Kluyveromyces lactis: one gene and its partners. The protein of the gene in region 6 purifies or fractionates together with the protein of the main gene of each other region. This does not show direct contact. Links are inferred from orthologs where the notes say so. Each region holds a gene or a part of one and is shown on either strand. Other genes may lie near its edges.

What was found.
Region 1: the proteins of SMB1 (region 6) and PRP42 purify together in Saccharomyces cerevisiae (affinity purification with mass spectrometry; 3 studies listed by BioGRID). This does not show direct contact. The link is inferred for Kluyveromyces lactis from reciprocal best matches to the Saccharomyces cerevisiae genes SMB1 and PRP42.
Region 2: the proteins of SMB1 (region 6) and RSE1 purify together in Saccharomyces cerevisiae (affinity purification with mass spectrometry; 4 studies listed by BioGRID). This does not show direct contact. The link is inferred for Kluyveromyces lactis from reciprocal best matches to the Saccharomyces cerevisiae genes SMB1 and RSE1.
Region 3: the proteins of SMB1 (region 6) and HSH155 purify together in Saccharomyces cerevisiae (affinity purification with mass spectrometry; 4 studies listed by BioGRID). This does not show direct contact. The link is inferred for Kluyveromyces lactis from reciprocal best matches to the Saccharomyces cerevisiae genes SMB1 and HSH155.
Region 4: the proteins of SMB1 (region 6) and CLF1 purify together in Saccharomyces cerevisiae (affinity purification with mass spectrometry; 4 studies listed by BioGRID). This does not show direct contact. The link is inferred for Kluyveromyces lactis from reciprocal best matches to the Saccharomyces cerevisiae genes SMB1 and CLF1.
Region 5: the proteins of SMB1 (region 6) and LSM4 purify together in Saccharomyces cerevisiae (affinity purification with mass spectrometry; 3 studies listed by BioGRID). This does not show direct contact. The link is inferred for Kluyveromyces lactis from reciprocal best matches to the Saccharomyces cerevisiae genes SMB1 and LSM4.
Region 7: the proteins of SMB1 (region 6) and PRP46 purify together in Saccharomyces cerevisiae (affinity purification with mass spectrometry; 3 studies listed by BioGRID). This does not show direct contact. The link is inferred for Kluyveromyces lactis from reciprocal best matches to the Saccharomyces cerevisiae genes SMB1 and PRP46.

Annotation. Positions count from the first base shown.
Region 1 is NC_006039.1:1,318,534-1,323,114, reverse strand, and holds PRP42 (mRNA splicing protein PRP42), read right to left. Parts: upstream 2,422-4,581; coding exon 772-2,421; downstream 1-771. Other genes in the region: YCX1 (Ycx1p), read left to right, coding at 1-752; HEM3 (hydroxymethylbilane synthase), read right to left, coding at 2,906-3,889. UniProt on the Saccharomyces cerevisiae protein: Essential component of the U1 snRNP particle, which recognizes and binds the 5'-splice site of pre-mRNA. Together with other non-snRNP factors, U1 snRNP forms the spliceosomal commitment complex, that targets pre-mRNA to the splicing pathway.
Region 2 is NC_006037.1:720,507-725,679, reverse strand, and holds the start of RSE1 (U2 snRNP complex subunit RSE1), read right to left. Parts: upstream 3,464-5,173; coding exon 1-3,463. Other genes in the region: GSF2 (Gsf2p), read left to right, coding at 4,698-5,173. UniProt on the Saccharomyces cerevisiae protein: Involved in G2/M transition. Required for pre-mRNA splicing and endoplasmic reticulum (ER) to Golgi secretion pathway. U2 snRNPs associated protein required for the pre-spliceosome assembly.
Region 3 is NC_006037.1:833,995-839,186, forward strand, and holds HSH155 (U2 snRNP complex subunit HSH155), read left to right. Parts: upstream 1-1,658; coding exon 1,659-4,523; downstream 4,524-5,192. Other genes in the region: GPI-anchor transamidase subunit GPI16, read right to left, coding at 1-1,392; APL6 (AP-3 complex subunit beta), read right to left, coding at 4,598-5,192. UniProt on the Saccharomyces cerevisiae protein: Contacts pre-mRNA on both sides of the branch site early in spliceosome assembly.
Region 4 is NC_006042.1:1,643,955-1,648,807, forward strand, and holds CLF1 (Clf1p), read left to right. Parts: upstream 1-1,637; coding exon 1,638-3,692; downstream 3,693-4,853. Other genes in the region: MTQ2 (S-adenosylmethionine-dependent methyltransferase), read right to left, coding at 23-691; NEDD8 family protein RUB1, read left to right, coding at 949-1,097, 1,199-1,283; mRNA splicing protein MSL5, read right to left, coding at 3,794-4,853. UniProt on the Saccharomyces cerevisiae protein: Involved in pre-mRNA splicing and cell cycle progression. Required for the spliceosome assembly by promoting the functional integration of the U4/U6.U5 tri-snRNP particle into the U1-, U2-dependent pre-spliceosome.
Region 5 is NC_006041.1:1,854,625-1,857,800, reverse strand, and holds LSM4 (U6 snRNA complex subunit LSM4), read right to left. Parts: upstream 1,415-3,176; coding exon 863-1,414; downstream 1-862. Other genes in the region: TMN3 (Tmn3p), read left to right, coding at 1-375; SBF complex DNA-binding subunit SWI4, read left to right, coding at 2,478-3,176. UniProt on the Saccharomyces cerevisiae protein: Component of LSm protein complexes, which are involved in RNA processing and may function in a chaperone-like manner. Component of the cytoplasmic LSM1-LSM7 complex which is involved in mRNA degradation by activating the decapping step.
Region 6 is NC_006038.1:47,389-50,616, forward strand, and holds SMB1 (mRNA splicing protein SMB1), read right to left. Parts: upstream 1,711-3,228; coding exon 1,135-1,710; downstream 1-1,134. Other genes in the region: CHZ1 (Chz1p), read left to right, coding at 2,147-2,665; Rab family GTPase YPT31, read right to left, coding at 3,005-3,228. UniProt on the Saccharomyces cerevisiae protein: Plays a role in pre-mRNA splicing as a core component of the spliceosomal U1, U2, U4 and U5 small nuclear ribonucleoproteins (snRNPs), the building blocks of the spliceosome.
Region 7 is NC_006042.1:1,033,989-1,037,983, forward strand, and holds PRP46 (mRNA splicing protein PRP46), read right to left. Parts: upstream 2,025-3,995; coding exon 720-2,024; downstream 1-719. Other genes in the region: NuA4 histone acetyltransferase complex catalytic subunit ESA1, read right to left, coding at 1-355; pseudouridine synthase PUS7, read left to right, coding at 2,286-3,995. UniProt on the Saccharomyces cerevisiae protein: Involved in pre-mRNA splicing. May also be required for cell cycle progression at G2/M.

The DNA of each region.
Region 1 (4,581 bases), on a different chromosome or scaffold from region 6:
TAGCAATAATTCTCATCACCACACCAATTGTTTTCTTTCTGACTCTTATAATACCCCTTCACTATTCGTCAATGTCAGGGAGTAACTTTTTCAAAGCTGCGTACTATTGTCAGTGTGCATTCTCCCCGTTCTTGACTCTTCTGTTGGTACAACGTGAATTTAACATTTGGTTATTTACTCTTGGCTTAATTGTATCCTGTATTTTACTTTTGATGTTCTTCAAATGGAAACTAACGGTCAAGGAAAAATATATCTCTTTATTTGGATTTGTTCTTTCAATTTCTTCCATATCATTTGTTGTTGGGTTGGTGCTTGACATTTTAACGAATTGGGCGGAGACGTTCAATCTCTCAGAAGCTATACTTGGTTTGACAGTTTTTGCGTGGGGAAATTCTATTGGTGATTTGGTCTCTAATGTCACATTCACCAGAATTGGAGTATTGGAGATTGCATTGGGTTCCTGTTTTGGTAGCCCTCTACTATATTTCCTATTTGGTGTTGGTGTAGATGGCATGCTCGTCCTTCTTCAGAGGGAATACCCTGAAGGTACAGCAATATGGAGTAGGCACATAGATTTCGATGTTAATCGTGGACTAGTCTTCAATTGTATCGGCATAGTCATAGCGTTTGGCATATTTATTTTTGTGGTCCCCCTAAATAATTGGAAGTTAGACAAGAGAGTTGGCTGTTTACTCTTATTCCTATATGGAATTATCACTACTATAAACGTCTATTTTGAATTGAATAAGTGAACTTGTAGACATAAACTAATTAAATAGGAACTTTCATCTGTCCCTGATTTGTGTAGGCTTCAGTAAAGAGTTCCATATCATCTGGCAAGTAGTTTGAAATAAACAATTCTACTTCAGACAAAACAGCCTTACCATACTTTGCAGCAGATGGAATGATATCATTTATAATATGCTTCCGCCTCTTTAAATAGGTGATATTATTATCGTACCATACTAGAGAACAATAAAGGTACCAGAACTTTGGATTTTCCAGGAACGATTTCCATTTGCTATTGATTATGTGTTGATAAACTTTAGTTTCAACTAAAGCACGCGGAAAACGCTCGTACATTTCATTTACCATGTTCAATAAAATGTATTGTCTGTTATGATCATCTTCTTTACTTGCCTTTTTCATCAATACATCCAGTAAATTGTCGGAGAATTCGATGTTGTTTGTTAAACCACTGAAGCGACTTTTTGAATTGGCAGAACTCAAGAACAAGTTGAATTGTATGTAGTCAATGAATATTTCGAAATCATCGGAAGTAGTTAGATCATTTGAGAATGCGAGTGAAATATCATCATATAATTGATGGAGTTCTGAAATCTGCCCTAATCTAATGAGAACCGAGGATAACATTGTGACAATCCTGGAACGCTTGTGAACGTAGGATAAAGCCTGTAACATCACGTTTTTGGCACCAATGAAATCGTTCAAATCATCAATTAAATAGTTGGCGTACTGCAACCATATATGGTCATAATGAGCTAAAGGGAGCACAGATCGCTGAAACTGAAGCTTGATTAGGTCTGAAATTTTCTTTTCCCTGATATATTCGAAATATTTCGTCCAGACGATGATTTCCTGGTGTGGAATAAGTTCTTCCGCAGACATGTAGTATCTTTTGGTGATCTTACTTTCAAACAATTCATATATCTCCATAACTTCATACTGTACGACAAGGAATAACTCTTTAGAAACTTTCTTCAAAGCTTTCTTGGCGACTTGCAAATGTGGGCCTCTGCGACCATTCAATTGTGTGTCTATCTTCAACTTTTTCCATAGCTCTTTATCTTCCGCATAGAACCTTAATTGTGAAAGATCTTTAACATCTTCAATGGTTTGTAGCCACAAATCATAAAAACTGGAATATTCATATAACGGTATTTCTATCACTTTTCTTAACGTTCGAATGTAATGTTGCGGTGTCTTGCATCGCAGTTTTATTTCGTTAAGATACATGTGCCAAAATTCAGCACCGAAGAAATGCAATCCAATGTAGGATTCCGCAAAGGCATATTTTTGGAAAAGTTGCTTATCACTGGGCATAATTTTATTGCAGATCTTCAAGTATTCTACCCATATTAACAATGACCTATTGTTGAAATACTGAAGAGCATTCTCGAATATAGCGTGAAACTTACCAAAATTCCCTAGTTTATACTCCAATAGTCCGTATTCGACATGATAATTCTCCAAAAAGGGGAACTGGTAGAGTAATGATTCATATGTCGATCGTACTAGCTGAAGAAGGTCTTTATTAATAGATTTTGAGATAGGTGATGCCTTCAGCAATAAATGATTCAAAAGATTCTCCCAATGGTGCAAACTTTTTGGATATTTGCATATTAAGAGACTGAATTCAGATAGCTTTTGATCACCTAATAGATTAAGATCATCTTCCATTTCCTTTTTCACAGTACTGGCAGAGCAACGATGATTTCAGTGCGTTTAGCTGCGTGCTCTACTTTGTTATGTTGGCTCATGAGTTAAACTACGTGTATATATTTCATGTTCTTGATAATGGTCATTTTTCTATTTTGCATCTATAAACAAAGAAATAATTGAACAGACCTACAACTGACATGGCAAAGAGATCTTTGTTCGGAACTCATTCCAATTCATTGCTTCATCGCAGTATATATATAGGTTTGTTTTATGCAAAAAGGGTCTTAATTAAGTGCATGTTTTTTCTATGATTAAACATTATTTGAATAAGTAAATATGCAAATTCATACATCAGGATAAAATTAAAAGCGTAAACGGAAACAAGAGAAGACATTAATAAGTGAATTATAAGGCAAGGGAAAAGGGTGTTTATATTGAATGCCGAGAGTTCATGCCCATTCAATTTTCTTCCACTCTCGTGTTTTAGAAGGAATGTTCGTCATTAAGTGATTTTGTCAAGATTGATAGAGTCTAAGATCTCTTTGGCACCATTTTGGGTTAGTTTAGCAGCAAGTTCTTTACCACAATTTATACTATCTTCCCTTTCGTTAGAAATGGTGACCTTATGTTCGATTTCTACCCATTCAGTACCTTCGACGTTGATAACAATACCTTTTAAGGTTAACACTTTTGTACTTTCGTCGTAGTTGGATACAACACCAATTGGAACTGAGCAACCACCTTCTAGAGTTCTGAGTAAAGAACGCTCGGCTAGACAGCAGATAGTCGTCGAAGGATCACAAATTTCTTTTAGAATTTTTTTCATCTTCTCGTCATCTTTTCTGATTTCAATACCAAGCGCACCTTGACCGACTGCGTAGCACATTGTGTCAGCATTAAAACGCTGGGTAATTCTAGAATCAAGTCCACTTCTCATTAGGCCGGCACTGGCCAAAACGATACATTTGTAAGGAGTCTCTGGATCATCTAATTTCGCCAGCCTGGTTTGAATATTACCTCTGATACTTTCGAATTTCAGGTTTGGAAATTTTCTCTTTAATTGAGCAGATCTTCTTACTGATGAAGTTCCGACCACCGAGCCGTCAGGCAACTCTGACAAGCTACTGTACGGAGAACCAATTGGCATGACTAGAGCATCTGTAGGATCTACACGTTTCGTGATACCGCCTAATTCGAATCCATCAGGTAGAAGAGTTGGCATATCTTTCAATGAATGAACAATCAGATCGATACGAGATTCATCATCTTTGTACAATAAATCTTCTAGTTCTTTCGTCCACACAGCCTTCCCACCAAAAGAATACAAGGGCTTAGACTGAACTTGGTCGCCAAGAGTGTGTACAGATAGAAGTGGACATTCGATATGGGAAAATTTCGACTCAATCATGACTTTGACTTGCTCAGACTGAACAACAGCCAACTTCGAACGTCTGCCACCAATACGAACAGTTTCTTTAGATTCCATTATGATAGCTTAATATATAACTAAAACCCAGTACAACACTTTAATGAATGTACGATGTTATCTTTCACTTTTAAAGCTGAGTCCCTTTTGTTAAATGATTGAATAGAGATGGAGACCAAACTGTCTATAATACAGGTATTTTAATCCGAACAGGAACTTTATAAGAGTTAAAAACACTTCAATGACTAGCAATCAGACACGAAATCAATAGAATCCCTTTATATTTACAAGAACGGTGGATTCTGACTGAGGTTGTTAATTAAAGAGTTTAACTTTAATATCCTAATGTAAAGACAAAGGATAAACAACCTTTCTTTTTTTAAATCTTATTACAACTATCCGAAATGCTATTCAACACCAACCAGTTGAATTTCACGGGTCCACCAATATTAGCAGCAATTTCCAATGCAAAGGTATAGCGTCCACTATCAATGAAAATATATCAGATTTGTCAAGGGCTATCCCTCTGTGTATCATCAACGTCTTCAAATAAAAGCGCTTTTATGTGTTGATATCTGGTTTTGTTTAAAATTTTCATCTTGAAAGATGAGGTTGAAAGTCATTATGTGGTGCAAGGATTGATCACTAAGCGGCCGAAAACTGGAAGGAGTGTTTATTGGTCGAGAATAATGACCGATGGATCTAAAGAGCAATTGATGATATTTGTCTAAGTTATCAAGTAAGCACTCAAT
Region 2 (5,173 bases), on a different chromosome or scaffold from region 6:
TGGATTGGAACGATTGGTATAACTGTTGCTCCTTTCTTGTTATCAAGGGGACGAAACAACCTATGGTTCCTTGTAGTCCGATCCATAAGATGGCTGGTCGATCGGACATATTCATATGGTTCACAATCTCAAATTTCATCGGAGTATCGTTCATGTACATATGGCACAACGTTTCTAAGGTATATTGGCAAGCTTTAATGTTAGATGCGACTCTAGTGTCGCTCTCATAGTTCACCCTAAGGACCCAACAGTTACCAAACCTATCCCCACCGATAACACTCGATACATCTATGAACTTGACTGTAGTAACATGCCTTTTCACAATGTCATCTGCTACTCCAATGAAGCTGTTATTATCTATATCATACTTGAAGATCGTAACAGATTCTCTAATATCACCAACTGCTAACATGGTTCCATCCCATTGGTCTAATGCAGTTACTTGGGTAATATATGGTGGCATTTCGGTGATGCTTTTCCTCAACAATTGTTTTTTACCTAGTCCAAATAGGACAACATTGCCAAGAATGCAACATGCCAATTTATCTCCAAACGAAACCATGGCATTGACCTTACTATGCACCATTGTTTCATGAATGTATTGGGTTTCAAGAACGTTGTTCTTCACTCGAATTTGAATCACAATAAATTTCCCTGATTCAGTAGATATGACAATATATTTAACATTTGTACCGAAATTGCAACTACAGACAGCATTAAAGACCTCTTTAGCAATAATCACGACCGTATTCCCATTGTTTGTTGCCAATAGCTTATCATCGCGAATAGCTGATAGACTGGTTTCTTTATTAGCTGTCTTTGAAATAACATATGATAACGAATTGTCCGTTGTATCTGAAAGGATCCGTTGTGATTGATAACCAACGATTTCGTACTTCTCACTTGCATCTTCATCCTCATCTTCATCCTCATCTTCATCCTCTTCTTCATTGCCAGCGTTTTTAAGTTCGTCATTAACAAGGGTATACTTTTTCTCATTGAACCAGTTACTCCAGGACAAAAAGTTATCTAATTTGCCGATTAGGAGTTGCCCTTTGCTGGTTATGGAACAGCAGCCGTTGCGCTTGATATCATCCGTGATAAAAGCATTTATATGTTTCAAGGTTATCCCCTCATCTGTTTTCAAAGGACGTAATGTGATTTTATCATCAATTTCGTAAGTTACCCAAGATATGCTTGAATTCAATACCACTAGTGGAGTGAAATCCGAAATCTTCTTCTTGAAATCGTCTATTTTTGAATCATTTTCTCCAGGTTCATCATCATCATCATCTTTGTGATTGATATCTATATTGTCCAAGAGATTTACCTGGACGGGCTTCGTTCCGACAAATCTAGTACGTACATCGAACACTGTGCCATCATTGATATTGAGTTTAGATGACAGATAAACACCACTTTTCATACCTACGTGGATCTTAAGATCCGACGTGTCCCGCATGAAAAGTAGAGAGTGCGGTTTTGATATTAGTGACTGAATAGCACAGATAGTGAAAAAATCTGGATGTTTACTCTGTAAGTTGAGAATCTGCAGACTAGAATCTTCACATCCTAATACACAATAGCCTGACTTTTGACCGGCGAGCAATGCAATAGAATTCACTGTAGAATCCATCTCCACTCGATCCTGTAATTCGTTTAACGAATCTTCTATGATTTCAAAATAGCATATTTCATGATTTGTTAAAGCGACAACTAACTGTGTCTCATTACAAAATGCTGTCACGATGCCAACACCAGCTGGTGGATACCATTCAAGTTTTTTGGTGTATGGACCATCATGCATTTCAATAATTTGTAAAAGACAATCCCGAGTAACTTGAATAATACTTCTTTGAACCATAGCGCCAACAAACAATGATGGTTTGTTCAAAATAAATGGGTTTGAATCTCCACCAAAATCTTCGACAGTTCCCTCATGGATCTTCAAGATGGTCGTTGAGGTTTCCATAGAAAGAAATATCAGACTGTGAGTTTCGTTTTTAGGAATTCTAACGGTCCAAAGTTTTGATGGTATTCTAGGTAATGTAGTTGATATAAGTTCTTCAAAATCAACCGCAGAAGTCAATTTAACAAGATTCTCAGTTTGATTGGCTGCAGCCAATATCGTGAGTGGTGTCGAATTTGATGCATGAAATGACGTCAAGGGATTTAAAGAAGTTAAGGAGTCAAGAATGGATAGGTTTTTCAAAGTGGACTCTGTTTCAATAAATGATCTCCTTCCCGGGGTATAAGATGTAATTTTTTCTAGATCTTCACCAAGACTTTCGAACTGTGTTAAATAAGAGGTCCCGAATTCTGATACGTTGAAAAGAGCACCTGACTTGAAAATGTGGATGTCTTCAGAAGTGGGGAGTGTATCAAAGTATGCAATTTCAAGAACTGGCGCCTTAGTTTCTTCATCAGGGATAATTCCGACCTTGTACATATCTCCGTGGTTAGACTGCATTAGGATGAAAAAATCTTTCTTCAATTTATGAATAGTACCGTTGATGATATTAGTTGACGAAACAGTTTTTCTGACGGGGAGTTGAACAGACACTTCATAAAAGCCTTCTAAGTCTATCAGAGTCAAGTATCCATCATAACCACAAATAACAAATGGATTTACCGAATCTTGATCAGTTTCATCATTCGGTCTAGTTTTAATCTTATACTGTTGTAAATTTGGGCATTGCATAACGAAATTGATGGATTTATCCTCTAAAAGATGCTCTTTCCGGAGTAGCAACGTGTTAAGACCCAAATCCATTGTATAAAAAGACAAATAGTAATCATTTGTCCCAGATTCTACCTCTATGGCAGCATTCACCGGATTATCAAAACTTACATCACAAGCTGCCGATGCCAAAGTGATTCTATCACTTCGTTGAATCTCTATAGGAGAACCAACAACCAATTTCCCACGTTGCCAGTCAGCCAACACGCACATCTTTGAACGCTCAATCCCACTGAAAAATACACATCTACTCTGTGGATCCGAAACCATTTGATATTGAGGTACAAACCTTCTGATCCCAGATCTGGAAATCGGTTCGTTTGCCAAAGTACGCACGTACACTTTCCCGCTCACGGAATCCCTCTCAAACTGCCAAAATGTTAAATTCCCAGAATCAGTTATCAACACCAAAATCGTATGTGAACATCTATCCATATTCAACTTGGTCATAGAAAGAATAGTAGCTGCTATAGGCCATTTACCCAACGCATCCAATGTTCCATTGCTAACATCGTACAATTCGACACAATCCTGTGTAGCTAGACATAATTGCAGTTCCTTCCGCTTCTTCGATGACCTCGGTCCCTTAACACTTGTTGTATCAGCTTCTGCTGTCGCTAATGATGATCTATCCAAAGTAAAATCACCGATGCAGGAATGAACGTAGTTCCTATGTCGTTGTAAAACAGTGTGCCATAGCAACACTTCAGAGTCCTGAGTCATCCGATCTTCGTTAGCGGGTAACTAAACACACGCTTCAGACGATGATCAGAGGTGTATACTGATGGTAATCAGTAGTGTTGTTCGTCAACTTGCACTCAAGAAGTGCGCTGTTGTTAGTTACTTTGTTTACTTTCAGATTTGGTTTTTTGCCGCCCTTATGAAGAAGTTAGGAAATACTATTTCAAAAACTTACACGTGACCAACAAATCCCAAAAAGTCAACAACATGTTACCCTGACATCACGTCACACGAAAAGATGCGATCACGTGACCAGAATGACATGAGACTCCACATTGTTTCGGAAAAACTTCTGTTGGAGCAGGAGCGAAGTGCTCGTTCAAAGCGGAATAAGAAAACACAGAAACATACGCAAAGGCTGTTTATCGCTCCATATGGACGGAAAAACTTACGATGAAGAGAGCGTACAGGCATGCTTGTACGTTGAGAAAGAAAGGCACACAGTCATTGTTTTAATCCATTACGAGATCAGCATGTAATTCGATACTACTTGTTCCCTTACCGGCACTGGCTCTGGCACTGGTGTCGTTAAACGGTATCACGTTTTGGTAACCCCACAAATGTGCACCTGATGGTGCAGAAACGTAAATATGGTTCACCAAGTTCAAAGCACAAGGCGTATTACGCTACTAACTCTAAGTAGGTGTTTCTCTTCTTCAGAAAAGAAAAACACCGTATGAGGATTCAAATGCCATAGCTTGACTGGTAGACACTCTGTATTGGTTTTTTTGACTTTCTCTTCTGGTCAGAGGAGCAAGTATGAGAAAACTCTTTGTCTGTCTCTACACGTTGATTTATACATTGTTACTGGGGAAATATTAATCGGCCGCATACAGATATCGGGTGGACTCATATTGGCAGATCAGCTCTGTGTGTGTGTTTATTTTTTTCTTCTTCCTCTCTGTGTGTCCGTTCCTTTTCACCAGGAAAAACCTTAATAATATATAATAACGGAAACATGACATATGCTAAAACTTGGTAAGTACGAAATGTTTTCTTCTAGGATAAAAGGCTGAACTCTAGAGTGTAATTTACTACACCAAAGCAAATTTGCCATCCGAACCAACCAGAGACGGTATAAGGTTAAGATCAGATTACAACAAAGCAGTGCTAGTTACTATACTCAGTACTTTTTCAAGATTTATCAGAGAGGAAGGCGAATATTTCCGGTTTTGTGGGAAAATTAACATCAATAACCAATAGCAAACTAGTCGCAATGGAGGTTTACGTGCGTATGAATGATGATTTAGAGTACGATTATGCGTTTCAAGTACAAAAAGATGATACTTTAGAACAAAAAATTGCCTTAATATTTAATAAGGAAAAGGGTCTTTCAAGGTTTATGGTTTTGAAGCCATCAATTTTTTATAAGAACGAACCATCTGGTTTCAGGAAATCCATGCATCCTGGTTTCTTAACTGAGAATGGATGTTTATTGTTCGATTACTCTGCAGATGATTCAGAGTATTTAGAGGATTTGGAAGTTTCAAAGAAAACCGTTTGGGAACAATTGTGGCCTGGTCAATTAGTATTACCAAAATGGGAGAAGGACTGGAAAACAATCTGGACTTTTGTAACTATAATGCTGGTATGGTTGTACACTGATTTACCAGATTGTATTTCTCCAACGCCAGGTATCTGTCTTACAAATCAACTTTCTAAGAGATTTGCTAGTCTCGCTGATAACGCTGG
Region 3 (5,192 bases), on a different chromosome or scaffold from region 6:
CATGAACCAAGGCAAGGATTCAAAATAAACTAATTCCACAGCTTCGTTGGAAGGATTACGAAATACTGATCTTAACCCGCCACGGTCTTGGCCATAACCAGTGAGAGCTCTGGAAACGTATATTGGAGTCTTTTTGGAGGGTAGTACACTCTTAGAGTCTGTCGTTTCCAAGCGAACATCATGTGGTTTGTTATTGTTGAGATCGAAACAGTTGTCGTCGGTTGCAAAATATGATTCGTCGACCTGTATCATAACGTCCCAATGTGAGGGAACGTGAACACATATTTTTGAGCTTTGTTCGCCAAGCAAGCTGCCTCCACGGATTTTCTTACCAAATAGTTTTGAGATGCTGAAACTAACTTCTTTGCTTTGAGGTAACGGGAAACATTGGAACGCGTCGTGTGGTCTATTCGTGTCACAACGAAGTTCGTCGCCTGGTAAAGGCTTCGGAATTGGTCTGTCAGCTCTGGCCAAAGCATTTGGTACGTTGACCACTGTTTCGATAAATTCTTCCATAACAAAGTGGCAATTGGCAGTTGATTCGTCACAAACAGTATTGACATCAATCGACAGACTGTGCCAATTTGAATCAAAGATCTTGTGGCCATCTAACAAAGAGGAGATACCAGATTTCCCTCTTGTTGGTAAAAGTTTTACAAATGGGGTCAAATTTTCAGTACAAACCGGTTCGTTGGCTAAAGTTGCTCTCATGAGGTAAAGATGGTTGCTTTGATTCAGTAGTGGGATCGCTTCGTCTTCTTTCGGTAAGAATGATGATACCGGAAACGTCGTCTTTGAAGTGTCAATGAAATTGATGGAAGCACAGAACAATCCACTTAACGAATTGGCCAACGTTATCCATGATTTCAACGCTTCTTCCTTCGATGGTGCTTCCACAATAGCCCATAATTCCACACCTGTTCCTCCAGATTTCAACCCGTTGTGTGGAAGCTGGCCCCATTCTTGTGAATCCCATAGCCCATGTGTAAATCTCAAGTGTAACTGTCTGGTATTAGTCTGTGACATAATGGGCCCAACGGGCTTCGGGAAAACTGTGTGATGAGAGTATTCACTGGATTCGTGCTGGTCTCTATCTATACCAAATGGCTCTGATTGCATATAGAACTGAAAACTTGCAAGCAAAAAGTTGTTAGGCAAGGGAGTTAGATCCAGATGCTCTCGAAAATTATACTCAATAGGATGCTCTAGTGAAAGAAACTTCGAGGACTGTGTTATTCTCGATGATTCCCCAGGCTCTGCATTCCAGCTTTCATCTATAACATCTTGCTGAACTGATTCTGTTTCGTTGTCAACTGGATTAACTTCAAAGTCTACTTCAGCCGTCACGATGGCTGCTAGAAGCAAAACTGGAATCCAATTTTGTAACCTCATGCGGTATGGACCCAGAGTATAATACTTTTCTAAAAGTTAGGCTATTTTCTGGCCTCTTAACTAAACTATCCTCTTTTCTCTGTTGAGAAGTATCGTTCTTTGTTTTGTATATGTGTTTATAATTAAAGATTCGAGTTACAACTTAGTAACAATTTTGATGTCAAGAACCTTTGAATCAAAAGGAAGAAAGGTATAACTGAAAGGCAAGCACCAATCAGGATCTTTATTGCTATTGCCGAGTTTGGTATTAAACAGCTGTACTTAAAATGGAAGCTATCAAGTTCGAAAAGTCGGGCCAGCGACATTCTCTTACAGGACAATACACTGCTCCCAGAGCCATATTGGAATCGACTGTAGGGAAAGATGAGGGGGATGATGAGTTGACAGCCAACCAGAAGCAACGAAGCTTGTATAATAAACAGTCTGATTATCATAAGAGAAGGTTCCTTAGGAATTTGGATGAAGAAGTGGATGAAGAGCAAGTGAAAGATGTGAAAAGAAGGAAAACCGATAAGGATGGTGATAAGGAAGAGGAAAGTGGCGGTGGATATACGATGCCCAAGACTTCGCAGCATATTATAACTGAGCTCTCGGAAGAGATGGTTACTGAAGTTCCAGGGGTACGTAATCTTCAGTTCTTTAAGCCTTCAGACAGACAACATTTCGCAATTTTGTTTGATGAAAGGTCTCCAGAAGATATGACTGAAGAGGAAAGGAAACAGAAACAGGTTTTAAAATTGGTACTTAAGGTGAAAAATGGGTTACCAAGCTCTAGGAAAATAGCTCTCAGAGCACTCACTCAAAAGGCACCCTCTTTCGGGGCACCATTGTTATTTGATTCGATCTTGCCCATTCTTCTCGATAAAACACTTGAAGATGAAGAGCATCAACTAATGTTGAAACTTATGGATAGAATTCTTTTCCAGCTCCAGGATTTGGTAAAACCATATACACATAAGCTCCTAATAGTATTATGTCCTATGCTTATAGATCCTGTGCCCTTGACTAGATCTACAGGTAGAGATATTATAACTACTTTGGCAAAAGCCGTGGGACTACCGACAATGATATACACAATGAGACCAGATCTCGACCATGAGGATGAGTATGTGCGAAACACGACGGCGAGAGCAATGGCCGTTGTATCGAAAGCCTTCGGGGTAAGTCAAACAATACCATTCCTACGATTGGTTTGTAGATCGAAAAAGAGCTGGAAGGCAAGACATACTGGGATAAAGATAATTCAGCAAATTGCTATTTTAGTAGGGATTGGTAGCTTACCATACCTCGACGATCTTATCGCATGTATAGAGAAGGGATTTCAAGATGAACATCCTCCAGTGAGAATCATAGCCGCTCAAACAGTGTCATCATTGGCACAAAGCTGCCAGCCATATGGTATTGAGCGCTTTAATCCGGTCCTCGAACCACTTTGGAGAGGTGTTAAACAAAACAGGGGAAGAGAACTAGCTGCATTTTTGAAGGCTCTAGGATTTCTCATTCCGTTGATGGATCCCGAATATGCGTCGTATTACGCTGAAGAAGTGATGAAGATTGTAAAGAGAGAATTCAATTCACCGAACGAAGATATGAAGAAAACGGTTCTATTTGTTATACAAAAGCTTTCCGTGACTGAAGGTGTAACACCTCAGTATCTGAGAAAAGAGCTAGCAGCAGAGTTTTTCAAACAATTTTGGGTTCGTAGATCGGCTTTGGATCGTCAACTCAACAACATAGTAACATTTACTACTGTTTTATTGGCTAATAAGACTGGAGCTGCATTCACGCTTGAAAAGCTTATATATCCATTAAAGGATGAATCTGAACCGTTCAGAACAATGGGTGCACATGCAGTTAACAGAGTTGTGAAAGCATTAGGAATGACAGATGTTGATGAAAGGCTTGAAGCGAGGTTGCTTGATGCTTTACTTATTGCATTCCAAGATCAAACGAATGGTGAGAGAATTGTCTACAGATCTATTGGAACTGTCGCCAAATCTTTGAATACCAGAATGAAACCGTATATTTCGCCGGTGTCAAGTATTATTCTAGAACATTTGAAACACAAAAAACCTTTGGTTAGAACACATGCGGCGAGTTTATGTGCCCTCTTGATCCCGGTTTTCAAACACTGTGAAGAAACAGCTCTTATCAATAAATTCAACATTATCCTTTTTGAATCGTTAGGCGAAGTTTATCCAGAGGTGTTAGCTGCAATCATTTCCGCAATGGACAAAGCTGCTGCACAGATAAGGCTAACTGACTTACAACCACCTCCGAATCAAATTTTACTATCATTGACACCAATTTTGAGAAACAACCATCCTTTAGTCCAGGAATCTACTGTTAAACTTGTTGGAAGAATTGCCAGGCGTGGGCCTGAATATGTTTCTCCTAAAGAATGGATGCGCATTTGTTCTGAGCTTTTGGAAATGTTAAAAAGTCCTGTGAAGTCCATCAGGGTGGCAGCGAACAGAACATTTGGATATATTGCCAAAGCGATAGGACCTCAGGATGTTTTGGTAACGTTGTTAAATAATTTGAAGGTGCAAGAACGTCAACTTCGTGTTAACACCTCTATTGCAATTGGTATCGTTGCTAAGACATGTGGGCCATTTGTTGTCATACCTGCATTGATGAATGAATACAGAACACCTGACACAAACGTACAGAACGGTATTTTAAAGGCACTTGCCTTTATTTTAGAATACATTGGTCCCATGTCTAAGGATTACATTTATCCACTTATACCGTTGTTGCAGGATGCTCTAACAGATAGGGACTTGGTTCATCGACAAACTGCAGCAACCTGCATAAAGCATTTAGCTTTCAATTGTGCAGGAAGAGGATTAGAGGACGCGTTCATCCATTGCATGAATTTATTATTGCCAAACGTCTTTGAAACTTCACCTCATGTTATTTCCAGAATCCTAGAGGGGCTAGAAGGACTAAGAATGGCTCTAGGACCAGGTGTTTCTATGAATTATGCCTGGGGAGGTTTATTTCATCCTGCTAAGAATGTTCGGAACGCATATTGGAAACTATATAACGGAGCATACGTCGCTCAACCAGATGCTTTGGTTCCGTACTACCCTGTCAATGAGGTAGAAGAGCTTAACTTGTTATTATAACTAGAAAATTGCAGTAATTATTATGTAGTTAAAAATTAAAGATTCTATTGGTTTTAAACTAAGTTAGTGATCTCTCAAGGATCGGAAGAAGTAGAACTCCTGTCGTCTTCCTCACCTTCTTCAATATCATCGGTATCATCACTTTCATCGCTGCTTGATTCTTCTAATTGGGCAACATCAGATTCCGTTTCTGATTCTTCCTCTATAACGATCTTCGTTTTCTTCGGTTTCTCTGGGATATCTGCAAAGAATTCATCCAAACTTTGTAGTTTGTAAGTTTTCCCTTTTGAGGATGTGAAAGTTTTTGGCTCTGGACTTGATGATTTGCTGGATATTGGCGAGGAGGCCTTAGGTTGCTGGTAATTAGCCCTAGTCCTACTAGCGAAGAAAGTATTAGATGAAATGCTAGATTTATTCTTCATGAAATTGTTAGTTTCAACAGGCGTTCTGTCCACCTCAGGTACTTCGGTTGACCACTGGGGAACCTTTAATGAATTCAATACTTCTGGGGAAAGCTCAAGGTGTGCAAGGTCACTTGCTTTATCTCCGTAAGTGAATAGTGACAAAGCTGGCCATGGTTTTGCAGCTTGCAATAACAAGGTCAGTATTTCAAACCTTTCGTGTGAGAACAATGAACTCAAGGACCTAACTTTATCTCTTATATCAAAA
Region 4 (4,853 bases), on a different chromosome or scaffold from region 6:
GAGAAGCTCACATTTGCGTTCATCAGTTTCTATAAAATTTATAAACACTTAATACTTCCCACCCTGCTTTTCTGTGTATCACTAATTCACTTTTCCATCCGCTGAACTTCATCTTACTTGCCACAGTTTCAGGTTTATTTCTAGCACAAAACAATATGTACGCTACTCCGTTGCAGCTAAGAATTCTGTCCAATCCATTCAATAGTCTCTGTGTGACCACCATCCCATCATCACCACCATCCAATGCTAGAAAGAGCCACTCATCATCACGAACAGCATGATTTGAATGAGGCAGTTCTGGTACAGTTTCTGCAGGTACATATGGTGGATTAAAGACAAGCAGGTCGACCTCATTTTCCCTTATTGAAGACGTAAGGTCTGTTTGTAATACATCAAAATGGCTATTCTTGCAACCATTCTTCGAACAAGTGTCTAAGGTAGCGTCCAATGCCCAAGGGTTCAAATCAGTTGCCAAATAAAGTCCATTGGCGTTTGGTATACCATTTTGCATAAGAAACGTAGAGACTATCCCAGAACCAGAACCAATTTCTATAGTCAATGGTACTGCGTCATTGAACCTGTTATTCAACCAACTCAGATCAGCTTCTAATGCATCTAATAAAAGAAAAGAGTCCTCGCTTGGCTCGTATACTTTATTATAATCATAAGAGACGTATGGTGTAGCTAGCATCGCCCTGTTATCCTAAGCCCTGATGAGCTATAGCTCGCATCAATATCTGTTCTGCACCTGTATCTTTTCAAACATGGAAGTCATCGCATATATAATATTGTATTTGAAAAGTTGATATTGAACAATAACGTATGCAAAAGGTCATCTAAAAGAAAGTAATTAAATTGAAGCTTAACAACTAGTCTACTGTTTGATACAACTATTAATCACCATTTTCAGAGAATCGACAATCAGTTGCTTGTTTGTGGTTGAGAAAGATGCAATTAAAGGTCAAGACATTAACAGGGAAGGAAATCTCCGTAGATGTTCAAAGTTCAGAAACGGTCTATCATATCAAAGAGCTATTAGAAGAAAAAGAGGGTATTCCACCATCACAGCAGAAGTTGATCTTCCAGGGCAAACAAATGTATGTTAATTAACTGATAATTCAGAACTGAGAAGAGTTTGATATCAAATTAATGTAGGGACTCTTTTACTAACTAGTAAGTAATGCTATCTTTAAATCAGAGATGATAACGCAACAATCGGCAGTGCCGACTTGCAAGATGGATCTCTTTTACATCTTGTTCTAACTTTAAGAGGCGGTTGTTGAGAGCCATGTGTCATTGCATTGCGAAACCTCAAGATACGTATGTGTATAAGTATTTTGCAGATAAATACCTGGAGGAATTACTCTGCATTTAATAAAACGACTATAATTATTGGAAGCTAACACTATGAATGACATAATTTACATTTACACGACCGTCCAATTATCAAACAAAGGAAGGATGTAACACATGCTTGTTGCTTTTCCTTGTATGCATGAATGAACCTTATAAATACATAATGATTCAGATATCAAATTTAGTGCGAACATTATAATTGTAGAAACAGATGAACTTAACGACAACGATGCAAACAAAAGTAAGAAAAACACGGATAACTTACCTGACTATACTGTAACATGGGTGACAATAGTTTATCCAATGAAGCCATCACTGCCGATAATATTTTGAAGGATGCCTTTAGCCAAAAGAAGCAGATTGCAGCTACTACGAAGGCAGATATATTAGATTTGGAAGAACTGAAAGACTGGCAACGAAGGAAAAGAACAGAGTATGAGACAGTTTTGAAAAGAAATAGGTTAGACCTTCGTCAATGGATGAGGTATGCTCAATTTGAATTTGATCAGAAAGATATACGAAGAGCTAGGTCCATTTATGAACGCGCTCTTCTTGTTGATCATGGGTTTATTCCACTATGGATTCAATACATCGACAGTGAAATCAAATGGAAAAATATCAACCATGCAAGGAACTTGTTAGACAGAGCAACAAACGCTCTTCCTCGTGTTGATAAGCTCTGGTTCAAATATCTTTTATTGGAAGAATCTTTGGGAAATCAGGGTATTGTACGAGGCATTTATACAAGATGGTGTTCATTTGAACCTGGTCCCGATGCATGGGACTCCTTCATCGAGTTCGAAACAAGGTGCTTGAATTTTGAAAATGTCAGGAACATTTACTCGAAGTTTGTTCTAGTCCATCCTCAAATAGATACCTGGTTGAAATGGGTTCGTTTTGAACAAACTCATGGAGATATATCATCCGTACGAACAGTGTTCTCATTCGCGCTAGACACACTCACAAGTTTCAGCGGAACACCACTGGTAGATATTGAACGAGTTATTGGTAGCTTCGCTTCCTGGGAAGCTTCTCAGGGAGAGTATGAACGATCTAGAACGTTATACCGACTAGCAGTTGAAAGATGGCCAATTTCTGAAGCATTAAAGGAACAGCAGATTCAGTTCGAGAAGAAGTTCGGCTCTTCGAAAAATATGGAGGACATAGTAATCGCTAAAAGGAAAGCCGAGTACGAGCAATATCTAAAATCAGATCCCTATCATTATTCTACTTGGTGGGTCTATATTGACCTGGTTGAGGAAAAATATCAAGAGCAATTGACATCAGCTTTCCAGTCGTTCATTGAATTGGCAAAGCCGAAGTCCCTGGTAAAGGATTCGAGCTGGAAGAGGTACATAAGAATCTGCGTACGATACTTGGTCTATCTAGAGCTCACCATTAATGATTTGCCTACGATACGCTCGGTTTATCAAGACATCCTCGACATCATTCCACATAAGAAGTTTACATTCGGTAAACTGTGGATAATGTATGCAGAATTCGAAATTAGGCAGAACAACTTGCTGAAAGCAAGAAAAATTCTGGGTGTGAGCTTAGGAAAGTCCCCCAAGCCAAAAGTGTTTAAATATTACATCAATTTGGAGATAAGGCTAAAAGAGTTTGATAGAGTGAGAAAGCTATACGAGAAATACATCGATTTCAATCCTAGTTCAGTGCAATCATGGTTGGATTATGCAGAATTAGAAGAAAATTTAGGAGATGAAGATAGATCAAGAGGGATCTATGATATCTCCATGAGCAATAATGTTGGATTATCTGAATCGGACCAGCTGATTGTCATTCAGCGCTATATCGCTTTTGAAACTGATGCAGCAGAATATGAAAAGGCTAGAGAGTTGTACGAGAAGTATTTGATTTTGAGTAGATATGACGTGAACATATGGATAAACCAGGCGCTTTTCGAGAGCACTATTCCAACTGAGACCCAACTAATAGCCTATCAACAATCTCATCAAGACGGGAATTTTGACGACGATGGCGAAGAGGAGTTCAGTTTTGAAATTACACCTGAGAATAAGCATCACACCAGGGCTATTTTTGAGAAGGCAATTTCATATTTCAAAGAACATAATGAAGATAAGAAACGCCAGCAAGTTTTACAATCTCTCCTGGAGTATGAGAAAGTTCATGGTAATCAAGAAACTTTGGAAAAGGTCAATGCTAGACAACCAAGTTTGGTTAGGGAAAAAGTTACTATCGATAACATTGAGCAAGAGTCATATAAATTGGATTTTCCGGACGATCGTGTTGCTCAACCTCCTATTGCTCGAAATCTTCTAGCTTTGGCAAAACAATGGGAGAAAAATTCCAGCTGATATGTAACTTTATATTCATATACAGATAATACAATTGTAGATTTAGAACACGCATTTAATCAGGTTGGCATATAGGCTATTGAGAAAAAATACGAATTGTATTAATTATTCGTTTCATTATCGGTAAAACTTTGTGGCAACTGGTTTGACGGTATCGAACTGGGTGTTGATATCGTAGAAGGGGTAAGCCCAGGTGCATTCATTGTCGGTACAGATCCTGGGGGCATTAATCCTGGAGGAACGTTGCCTGGTGCTGCTGCCAATCCTGGTGCTGCCAATCCTGGTGCTGCCAATCCTGGTGCTGCCAATCCTGGTGCTGCCAATCCTGGTGCTGCCAATCCTGGTGCTGCCAATCCTGGTGCTGCCATTCCTGGTGCTGCCATTCCTGGTGCTGCCATTCCGGGAGGAGATAAACCTGGGGGTGCCATTCCTGGAGTAGCAATATTTAAGTTTCCTTCAGTGATACCTATTCCAGACGTTGAATTTTCTGCAGCCAGAGATTCGGATCTGGCTGAAACAGAAGAAGGTGAACCTACAGAAGAGTTGGAGCCCGCTGTAGCAGTAATCCCATCACCTCCTAGTCCATCAATAGAAATTTGCATCATAGGGGTTAGTCTATGAGTATTTACGATAGTGCTTTGGTCGTGGATGTTAGATTCTGCATTTTTGAATCTTTTGGCTGCGTCGGAAGCGACCTCTATTCCAATTCTCTTTCTTCCGAATGTTTGTACATAGTTATCTTCTCTTAGTGTACCATTCAAAACAGCAAGCTCTCTCAACTGACCTCGCTTCAAATCATTTTGACCTTCAGGTGAAGTGATCGCCTTGACGACTATACTTTCACAGGCCTTGATTCCTAATGGTATTTTGTCCTCTACATCTGCAATAATGATGCAGTGCAATGGCTCATTCATATTCATTGCACCTTTCGGTAGGTCTGCAGCAGCTTTACCTGATCTGACGGATCCTCGTCCTCTGATGGAAATCTTACATCCCGATTCTTGTTGAAGCTTCTTCAAAGTATTACCACGAGGCCCTAGTAATAGCCCCACAAAATTTATATCCGGATAATCCTCCGTAGGGATGTAATATTTGTCTTGAAACCTTGTAGGTCTTCTATAGTCGTCCGGTGTAACGAAGTTTGGTATCATTTTCAGAGCA
Region 5 (3,176 bases), on a different chromosome or scaffold from region 6:
CTTTTGAGTAATATTGTTATCGTTTGCATATGTATCTGCCTTCTATCCATTATTGGTTGTTACATTCATCTAAACTATGGTAATGATTCTTTGAATTTCAAATGGGACAACGTTATAGGAAGGGTTCTAGAAGCATGTCATTCATGGAGATGGAAGGCATTTCATATGGGTGGTGCAGTTGCATGGTATATGGAAGCGTACTCTATTTTGTATTTGATTTTTGTTGCCAGATACAGAGATTTCATCTCATCTTTCCTATTTGTCTGTTATAGTACGTTATTCAACATTCTCTGCTGGACAGCATTTGGATCTTTAAGTTACCTAAGCTCATTGTGGTTCATCGGTAAGCTGAATGAATATAACAAGGCTAAATAAGTTCGCCTCTTATATTTAAAGTGAGGCCAAAAAAAAAAAGTCCGGCTCTCTTCAGGAGTCTCATATTTCTCCTATATAATACTGCATATCTAGCATGGACTTTCTAAACCAAGCATTTTTGTATAGAGTAATTTAAAAAATAACAACATTTGATCTTTTCCACGGTACCCATGCTCACATACTCTTAATATATAAAGCACTGATATACTGCTTTGAACTTAAGGTTCACTAACTCTGAATCATAATTAATAGGTAGTTCTTTTAATTTCATAACCCAAATTCAGTTTTAAATCTCAAAAGTGTGAAAGGAGTAACGAGAAAAAGGTTTAGGATATCGCATCGAATGCAATCGAAACAGATGTTTTTATAGACTTTTGACCGTCCAAGCCAACAAAATAGTCTCTTTAACCGCAATAAAAGTGATTGAATATGTAACCATGTAGACACACAAATACTTAAGAATTAAATGCTGAGAAAAGAGGTTAAATCAAAATTGTGGAGTTTGATTACTATTGTTTGACGCCTGCGAATACGAAAGCTGTGGATTGGATGATGCATCGTATTGTGATCTATTTTGAATATTATAACGACGAGATCCTGCATTGTTATGGCTGTGAGTATTGTTATTATTATTATTATTATTATTATTGTTGTTGTTGTAATCCCTTCTGTTACCTGAGTTTTGATAGTTTCTTCTACCACCTCTTCTGTTACCATCCCTATTCTGATAATAATTATTGTTATTATTGTAGTTGTTATTTCTTCTTCTATCGTCTTTACCGCCTCTGTTTTGACCCCATTGTTGTTTTACCTTGTCTATGATATCATCTTGCAAATTAACATACTTGATGAAAGAACCTTTCAAATAGAAGCTTGGTAATTTCAAAGTCTCTCCACTAGCTACATGAGTGACATTGGAAAGTGTCAAGTTCATCCAATTGTCTACATCAGATAGCGTACCTTCCACAGTTTCTCCATTTTTTAGTTCAACATGCATTGTTTGACCCTTTGCATTGGTCAATAAATATAATGGAAGCATTTTATGTTATAACTTATTGATCTGTTTTACCAATTATAGTGTGCCCGTGCTGTCGTATTTCTTTAGGTATCTCAAACCGTAGTAACTTAATCGTAGGAAAGGGTGGGGCCGGAACAATATACAATATACCAAAAAATTAGGACTCTGTCTGTCTGGAGAAGGAAAAATGTGAGGGAAAAAAGTATGAATTAGACTTTGTTGCTTATCTGCGTATCTGTAGTTTGAGTTATGTAACACTCCCTAGTAGGACGAACCAAATGCATACAATTGCATTGACAATATTTAAATTCCAATTACAATATAACTTCAGTTTTTCCAAATTTCATTGAGCTGGAAAAAGCATTCTCGACATTTCATAAAATTCATTTACCGGGTAACACTTAAAAGTTTCGAATCACGTGAGTGTCCCGGGTAATACTGACACGTGAATATAATCTGATTATTGATTTTTCTCTTATTTTTTCACTTTTAAGACTGTTTCTGCCCCCCTACTCCTTCGTGTCATACGGACCCTTCTAGGCGTTTTGAAAGGTTGCCTCAGCTTTGAATATGGGAACACACTGGAGTGAGGTTTGAAATGTGAGATCTGAGATTTTTTTTTTGGTGAGGCATCTAATCTTTCTTTTCCCAATTGGGTAAAGAGATTTGATCACAGTTTAAAATAAAGATTATAATCTTTTGAAAGCAGACTTTCTCACGCACTTTACAATGTCATTTATGATTTGTGTATACCTTTGTTATTAACAGTGTCTGTAGGCTACGTGAACTTAGCTAAATATCAGAGCATTCCAGTTGAGATTGATTTGGTCTGCTACTCCGATATCTGGATACATTTTTGGGCACTGGTGGAAAAGCTAGAATAACCGTAACTGCGTGGTATATTTTACGTTGAATTTTACAAAGTGAGCGAGCTTGAGATCACATTGCCAGGAGCAGAAGCAGAAGCAGCAGCAGAAGGTGACACTCGACTCGAAACGCTTTGTTGACTCTGGCGTGCTTTTCTTTGCTTTGTTTTGTCTAAAACAATTAGGATTTCGTGTGCATTTATTTCTTTCGTGTAATTATGGAACAACACTTGTCGCATCATAGCGGCAACGTTTTTGACAAGGAATCTATCCTTCAAATGCACATGGGCACTCATCATCATTCTGAGAATGATACACTTTTGAAACCGTTCAATTCTAATTTATTAGGAGCTAATAGTGGTGCTACCAATAATTCTTCTTCATCCACGGGAGCATCCTCTTCGATGATCGATGAAAGGCAGATCGATGGGAGTTTAAAGAAAATCAGTGAGGAACCTACTATGGCGGAGACAAGTGGTTATGACAGCGAATCGGAAACTTTCATTGAAGTTGCTACATACGCGGGCGTTGATGTATATGAATGTTATACCAAAGATAAACCTCCATGCCTTATCATGAGAAGATGCAACGATAATTGGTTGAACATAACGCAAGTTTTCAAAGCCGGTTCGTTTACAAAGGCTCAGAGAACCAAGATCTTGGAGAAAGAGGCCAATGAAATTAAACATGAAAAGATTCAGGGTGGTTATGGACGATTCCAGGGGACCTGGATACCCTGGGAATCGACTAAATATCTGGTGGAAAAATACAATATTAACAATAAGGTTGTCAAAAGGATTGTAGAATTTATTCCTGATCCAAATGATATGCCTCCTAGAAGATCAAAAGTATCTCAGATCAAGAAATTGGACCCGAATGCAAGGATTACATCACCATCAGCTTATAAGAAAACACCA
Region 6 (3,228 bases):
TATGGAATCTGTTCCCACAAATTTCACATAAATATGGTCTGTCGTTGCACTCTTTTGGTGTTGACATGTTAATTTGTTTGTTATGTTTTGTGATTTATTGTTATTTTGGACTTTATTGGTGGATATTGTATCGTATAACTGGCTAGTAGTTCACTCTGTGATGGATCTTCTCTTTCCTGATAAGGCTTTTGAAAGGATTATGTTTCACATTTAAGTTAATAGGAACTAAACGATTCAGGAAAGAGACGAAAGAAAGATAGTGGGGGGAAGACATGACAAATCGTGGTAACTACCCATATATATATATGTATGTATATTTAAGTACACGGTGTATTATGATGATGATGATGATTACGGTGCTTTGGTAAGTTAAAGTGGGTTGGATTTCCACCATCTTACGACAAAGACTGAACAGCTGGACAATTAGAAATTAATGACGAGACTCTATGAAAGCAACGGAGCTTGAATTTGCACAAAGATTTTTTTTTTATTCAGGTAGATTACTCCAGGGAGAATAATTTTTCCGAAACAATCAATGGTAATTTCTGGGGGAAATTAGTGGAAGCCTCACACGGAAAATCTCGAAGTGGTTTTTCCGGGATGCTTGAACAATCAGTAGGACTATTTCTCCGGATTCCTATAAAAAAAACACACACTCATGATATCGTGGCATGCGATATATTTGTTGTTTTTGCGAAACTTGCAAACTCTAATTCTTGCCCGTTCTCAGCTGAGAGATATTCCGCACCATGATTGTCCAGTTGGAAGCCATATTTAACACATAACATTTCTTTTGTCCGCAGGGCTATGGTGGGGTCATGGGGTATATCTGGAGGTTTCGTATAGGCATTTGGTGGGGTGGTTGAAAAGGGAATGAGGTGGATAATCATATTTCGCACAGGCTTTTAACGTTGCGCAGTACAGGGATATCATTACACTGGATAAAGCTAGATAAATTCTATATCTTCTTGTTCTAGTCGTTACAGTGGGATATCCAAAGTCCTCTGCGTGTACGTAAGAGGTAACTAAAGACATATCTATCAACATGTCTCGGATAATTATAGCTAAGATCGGTGATCGTAGCACCAAAACAATTTTTTTTATATCAATAAGTATGACAAGTTGTTCGCTGGTTTAGTTTCTTTTTTTGAAGCCTGGAGGGGCTTGGAACCGGCTGGGGCGTACCTGACTATTAGAATTAAACCTACTGGGAGCTCCAGAATTCGTATTGATAGGTTTATGACTTGGCTTCGTAACTCTATTTGAACTTTCTGAGTTAGTTGAAGTTATATTAGATCCATTCGTTCCAACGTTCATCTTGTTAGAAGTCTTCCCTTGACGAGCCTTTTTCGCATTATCTAATTTTTTTGCATTCTTCTTCTGGACTTCGATTCGTTCCTTCTTAGAGAGTTGGGGAGGTGACTCAACCGAGGTACTCAACACATGCTCACCCCGTAAAATTATTAGTCCAAAAGTCCTTCTTTCGACTTGCACATTGCTTGACAAGTTTCCTCCACTTTTAAGTACTTCTATGATTTGTTTATGAGGCATGCGTTCCTCTACACAATCTCCCATTACAAGGTTCATATATGCATCAAAAGCCATAAGTTGGCCAATATAAACCCTTCCGTCATGGGTAGCGACTCGTATTCTATAATCTATCAAATCTGATAGCTTCGTTTCCTTCTTTTTAACTTCAACTTGCGACATCGTCCTTGTATCTTTTGTATGATATGCTTAGAGATATAACTATTCTTCTTGGTGAACAAAGAAAGTGAAAAAGACTGTAAACTCGATTGTAAGAGGTATCCTTATATCATGCACAAAAAAGCGGTCCGTAGCAGTGATTCTTTATAGGACCAACGCAAGTTACTCATTGATCGTGAAACTAGTTAATGTTTTAATTTTCGATACAACATGATAGTTAGAATTCATCCACTATGCGGCTATGAAAAAAAATGATCACGTGGAAAATTATGTTTCTTTGGGATTTGAGATAATATGAATTATATTTGGTTCGCAAGATGCGAAAAGGAAACAAATACTGGTAAGCATCTTTAGATCAAAAAAAGCATTGCGTGAGCCTAGGTCGTACTCCTCGAACATCAGCACACTAATCATATCAACAGATACAAAGTTTGCAAATATGGCTGAAGAAATTAAGGATAAGCAAGAATTTCAAATAGGTGCAGAAGAGCCTGACTCTTCCAACGTTGCTTCACAAGCTAAAAGAAGTGCTGAAAGTGAGCTTGCTTCTACCGCTGATGCCAACGATAAGAAATCTAAAAAGAAGAGAAGAAGAAGAAACTATGATGATTTGGATGAAAAAATTGCTCAAGAAGACAAGGCATCTGCTACTTCTGGTGCTAACAAGGAAGAAGATAGTGAAAGTGAAGTCGATGACGAAAAATTAGATCAAATGATGGTAAAAGAAGATGAAGAAGAAGACGACCTTTCAGAAATCGATAGTTCCAATATTATAACTACTGGTAGGAGAACTCGTGGTAAGATTATTGATTATAAAAAGACTGCCGAGAAATTGGAAAAAAATGGTGAGGTTGGCAAGGATGATGATGATGATGAAGACGATGAAGAAAATGACGAAGAGTTCAAGGATCCAGCTGCTCCTGCCCCTGCCCCTGCTAGTCCGACTGAACCCAAATAGAAATTTGAATTAAAAATTTACTCAAGCGCATATAAAAGTTTGTAGTTTCACTAAATCTCCATGTTTGACATTATGGTAGTGTTTCATTTAAAAGAACAATGGATACGACGCAATGAACTGAGAAGGTATTTTGCAGTTAAGAAGTTTCAGGATGTCCTTCCAAACAGCTAGTATTTGCATAATTATGGCAGTCAATGTTATATACATAAAACAAGTGTCTAACTTAATCGGGATAAATGTCCCAGTCGATGATAATTCTGCTTCCCTTTTTCTTTCCGGGGCTTATACTTTCTATATAAACACCCTATAAGGAATGACCATAATACACGTTTAGAATTCCTAACAGCAGTTGTTTGTACTCTTTTTGTGTTTTTCGTTTGGTGCCGGTGTCAAAGAGATCGTAGGTCCCTTTGGAGCGTTGGCATTGTTTCCTGAGGCGTCATTCAAGTCTAGTTGATTTTTGGAAATCATTTGGTAGATAGCAGTAATCAATGCTCTGAACGCTTCGTCAACATTGTCAGCATTCAATGCACTAGTTTCCGTGAAAAGAAGTTGATTTTCTT
Region 7 (3,995 bases), on a different chromosome or scaffold from region 6:
CCATCACATCCCCACCATCCGGAGTAGCACTGGCTGCTTGTGGTGTAGCACTTTTATTCTGTTGCTGCTTCTTTTTCTTCGAGTCTTTCTTCTCTTCAAGCTCTTTAGGCCTAGGAAAAATGACTTCCTTGTCTATCTGTAACCTATCAGCAGTGATCCATTCATCTAGACGTTTATTGAAGTCTTCATAATGCACGTAGAACTTAGGTGGATCTCTTCTGCTGTTAATGGATAGAATTTCAGCAAGACGATCTTGACCATCTTTTAGTACCCATGACTTGCATCCAACGAAAATCTCATCGATGCTGTCAACCTTCTGGGGAATCCCAGGTTCCTTTTCTTCGCCGTGACTCATGTATTAGCGAGCTCGCCCAAAATATTTGTTAAACAGTTGCCTTGCCTTACTAGTTCCTCTTACAGAGGTGCTCTGTTTTTGGATTTGGTTTATTGCGTAACTAATAAGTTCAAATATTTTGAAGATGCTAAATTTCAGTTAATTTATTCAGATTACCGTATTAAAGCAAACACCATGCTTGAACAAACATACAAGAAAACCTGACGTTCCCTGTCCTTGACTACGTGACTGTAATCATATGACAGTTAGAGCAAACCTCGCAATTAATGCAGACTGAAATATTCTAGATAGATGGAAAACGGGGACCTAATAGAGTTAAACTACAAACTTCTACATAAGTCGCTGCAAGTAGACACCAGCTAGATTAGAATCTTTGAGATATTAACGTGGGATTCCACGGCAAGCCAGGGAATGTATCTTCTGTAGCATCAGGGACTTGCTTCCATATTTTGATGCTTTTGTCTCCTTCCCCTGTGATGAGTCTTGTTCCTGTGACATCAAAGGTGCTGCATAAAATCGATCGCTCACTTTCAAGTGAGCCAGCAACTTCAGTTGTCATCATACTTTGGTATTTGTGTCCTGTTTTGTAATCGTAAAAGCACAAAGTACCGTCATCTCCACCAGCTAATAGTACATTATCGTGATTAATTGATACGGTATTCAAAATCCCAGTGTTCTGGGATTGAAAGTTGGTTAATAGCTGTCCTTCGGGCAATTTCCAGGATCTGACGTCGTTCGTAGATACACTGGCAAAGCTAAACTCTGCTGGGTGTAGCGTCAAGTCTCTGATGTTTCTACTATGGTGCGTTAAAACTTTGCTTGCCTTCCCTGCAATGATATCCCAAAGTCTAACTGTTGCATCCCCGGAACAACTGATTATTTGTGGGTCAACGGGAAGGCATTTGACTTTATTTATAGGGCTTTTATGACCGGGCAGAACCATTATCTCAGATCTTGATCGTATATCCCACAACCTTACTACAGCATCACGACCAGCAGTAGCTATTATATCAAGGCTCGGATGAACATCAACGGTATGCACGCCAGATAAATGACCGTGAAAATCCCTAATTGCAGTATTTCTTTCTAGATCCCAACATTTTACAAGTTTATCTTCGCTTGCTGAGAACATATAAGGATGTCTCTTTGAGATAGCAATATCTCGAACACTCATTACATGCCCGATTAGAGTAATTTTCAACTTTCCCGCAGCTAAATCCCAGATTTTAATGGTTGTATCGTTGCTACCAGTAGCAAACCATTCATTGTCAACGGGGTCCACGCATACACATCTTACCCATCCAGTATGACCATTTATTACCTTACTGAGTTTCCATGGTGCATGCCATTGCGGTTTATAACTTCGAGTCTTTTCATAACGTTCCATCAATGAAATCTGCTGATGTGGCTGTTGGAACACTCTTCGTACTAGTTGGTCGCCTGGTTTTGTGGTATGTTTGACTAATGCTTGAGAGCTTTCGTTTGCAACAGTTTTCGACACCTCAACTAATTCACTGTACCTTTCTAAAACAGTCTTTTCTTGATCCAGGCACTTCTGTAACGACTCAGGTAAATAATCAGCATGTTTAAATTCATTATTCCACCGAGTTTGAACGTAAACATCATCTGCTACCTTCGAAGGTTCAGAGCTACGGCTGGATGTATTCATTGGTACTTATTAGTTGTCTATCAGTTCGATTAAGTCGTGTAACTCTCTTTCATCTTTGTATATGTCACTTCGTTAACTTTTCATAATATCCATCATACAAAACGGTTCTTTTCGTTTCTTGAAAAATTTCGAGCTCATCTCATCTCATCTCATCACATTGAAGCAGAAGTCAGTTGTTCAAATCTGGAAGCTGCGCTTCTTAATTGCTTATAACAAGTACCAGGTATTAGTACTCTCGTGTTAAAGTATAGTATTGGTATAATGTCAGACCAATCTTTGAAAAGAGAGTCCGAAGCTGCTGCCCAGCAAGAAGATATTAAGAGGACAAAAGTTGGTGAAGGTATAAATGAAGGTATAAACAATAACAACATCACTGAAAAGGATGTTGGTATCACGCATTACTTATCAATGGATAATGTTGGTTTCAATGGTCAGATCAAACAAAGGTACACTGACTTTTTAGTCAATGAAATCACCAAGCAAGGCGAAGTTGTGCATTTGACTGACAAAGGTTTTAATATGCCAAAGAAGCCAAAGCCAACGAGAGAACAAATCGAGCAATCGCAAAAAGAAGAACTTGAGAAACGCCAAGGATTTAAGGTGGATGAAGGAATTAGAAATGAACTTGTTGAACTTTTGGGAGAAGAGGATGTTCAAAAAATTGAAGCTGTGTACCGCTCAAATAAAAAGATTGAAACATCGAAGGCATTCGATGATAAACTTGAAAGGACTAAAATACATCAACTGCTACGTAGAGCTTTCGACAACAAGTTAGAATCTGTAACGACGGATTCAAACCATTTCATTGTTGGAATGGCTTCTCGCCAAACACGTGTTAGCAAAGAAGAATTGATCGAACAAACTAAGGATGCAAACGGTGTCGAAAACTGGGGTTATGGTCCATCAAAATCGTTTATTCATTTTACTGTCTATAAGGAAAACAAAGATACTATGGATGTCGCTAATACTTTATCAAAATTCATGAGAATTCCAACAAGGTTGATCAGATTTTCTGGAACAAAGGATCGTAGGGCTGTCACTTGTCAAAGAATGTCTTTATCCAAAATTGGTTTGGACAGATTAAACGGACTAAACAAGGGCTTGAAGGGTGTCGTTCTAGGTGGCTACAAATTCGAAGATGAGCCATTGAACTTGGGAGATCTACAGGGAAACGAATTCACTATTGCTATCAGAGATGTTTCATTGAAGAATGAAGGCGATGATTTGGATGATATCCTAGCCAATGGCATGAAATCCTTGGAACAAAATGGGTTCATCAATTATTTCGGTATGCAAAGATTTGGTACGTTCAGTGTTTCAACGCATCAAATTGGGCAAGTCCTATTATCAGGTAACTGGAAACAAGCTGTTGATTTGATCATGGCTGAACAAGAAAATGTTTTGCCAATTTCCAAAGAAGCTAGAAGAATTTGGGCACAAACCAGGAACCCAATCTATGCAGCCAAAGCAATGCCACATCAGTGTTTGGCAGAAAATGCCATTCTCAATGCACTATGTCATGAGGAGAAATGTGAAACATCAAACGATTACCCTATTAGCTCATATCACAATGCTATTCTAAAGATTCCTAGAAACTTGAGAACTATGTATGTGCATGCTTACCAAAGTTATGTTTGGAACATGGTCGCTAGCGAAAGGATTAAATTATTTGGATTGAATGTCATCGAAGGTGACCTTGTTGTTGACGAAACATCTGCTGCTGAGTCTGATGACCAAGCCAAACAGGACGAGGATGACTTTGATGAAGACCTCCGCGAAACGAAGTTTATTCGTGCAAGACCAGTGACAGCAGAAGAAGTTGCTGCTCAAACTTTCACCGTGAATGATGTTGTACTACCAACACCTGGTTTTGATATTGTCTATCCGAGCAATGAAAACCTTCGCCAACTATATGTTGACGTTATGGCAAAAGATAACATGGATCCCTTCGATATGAAGCGGAAAGTTCGT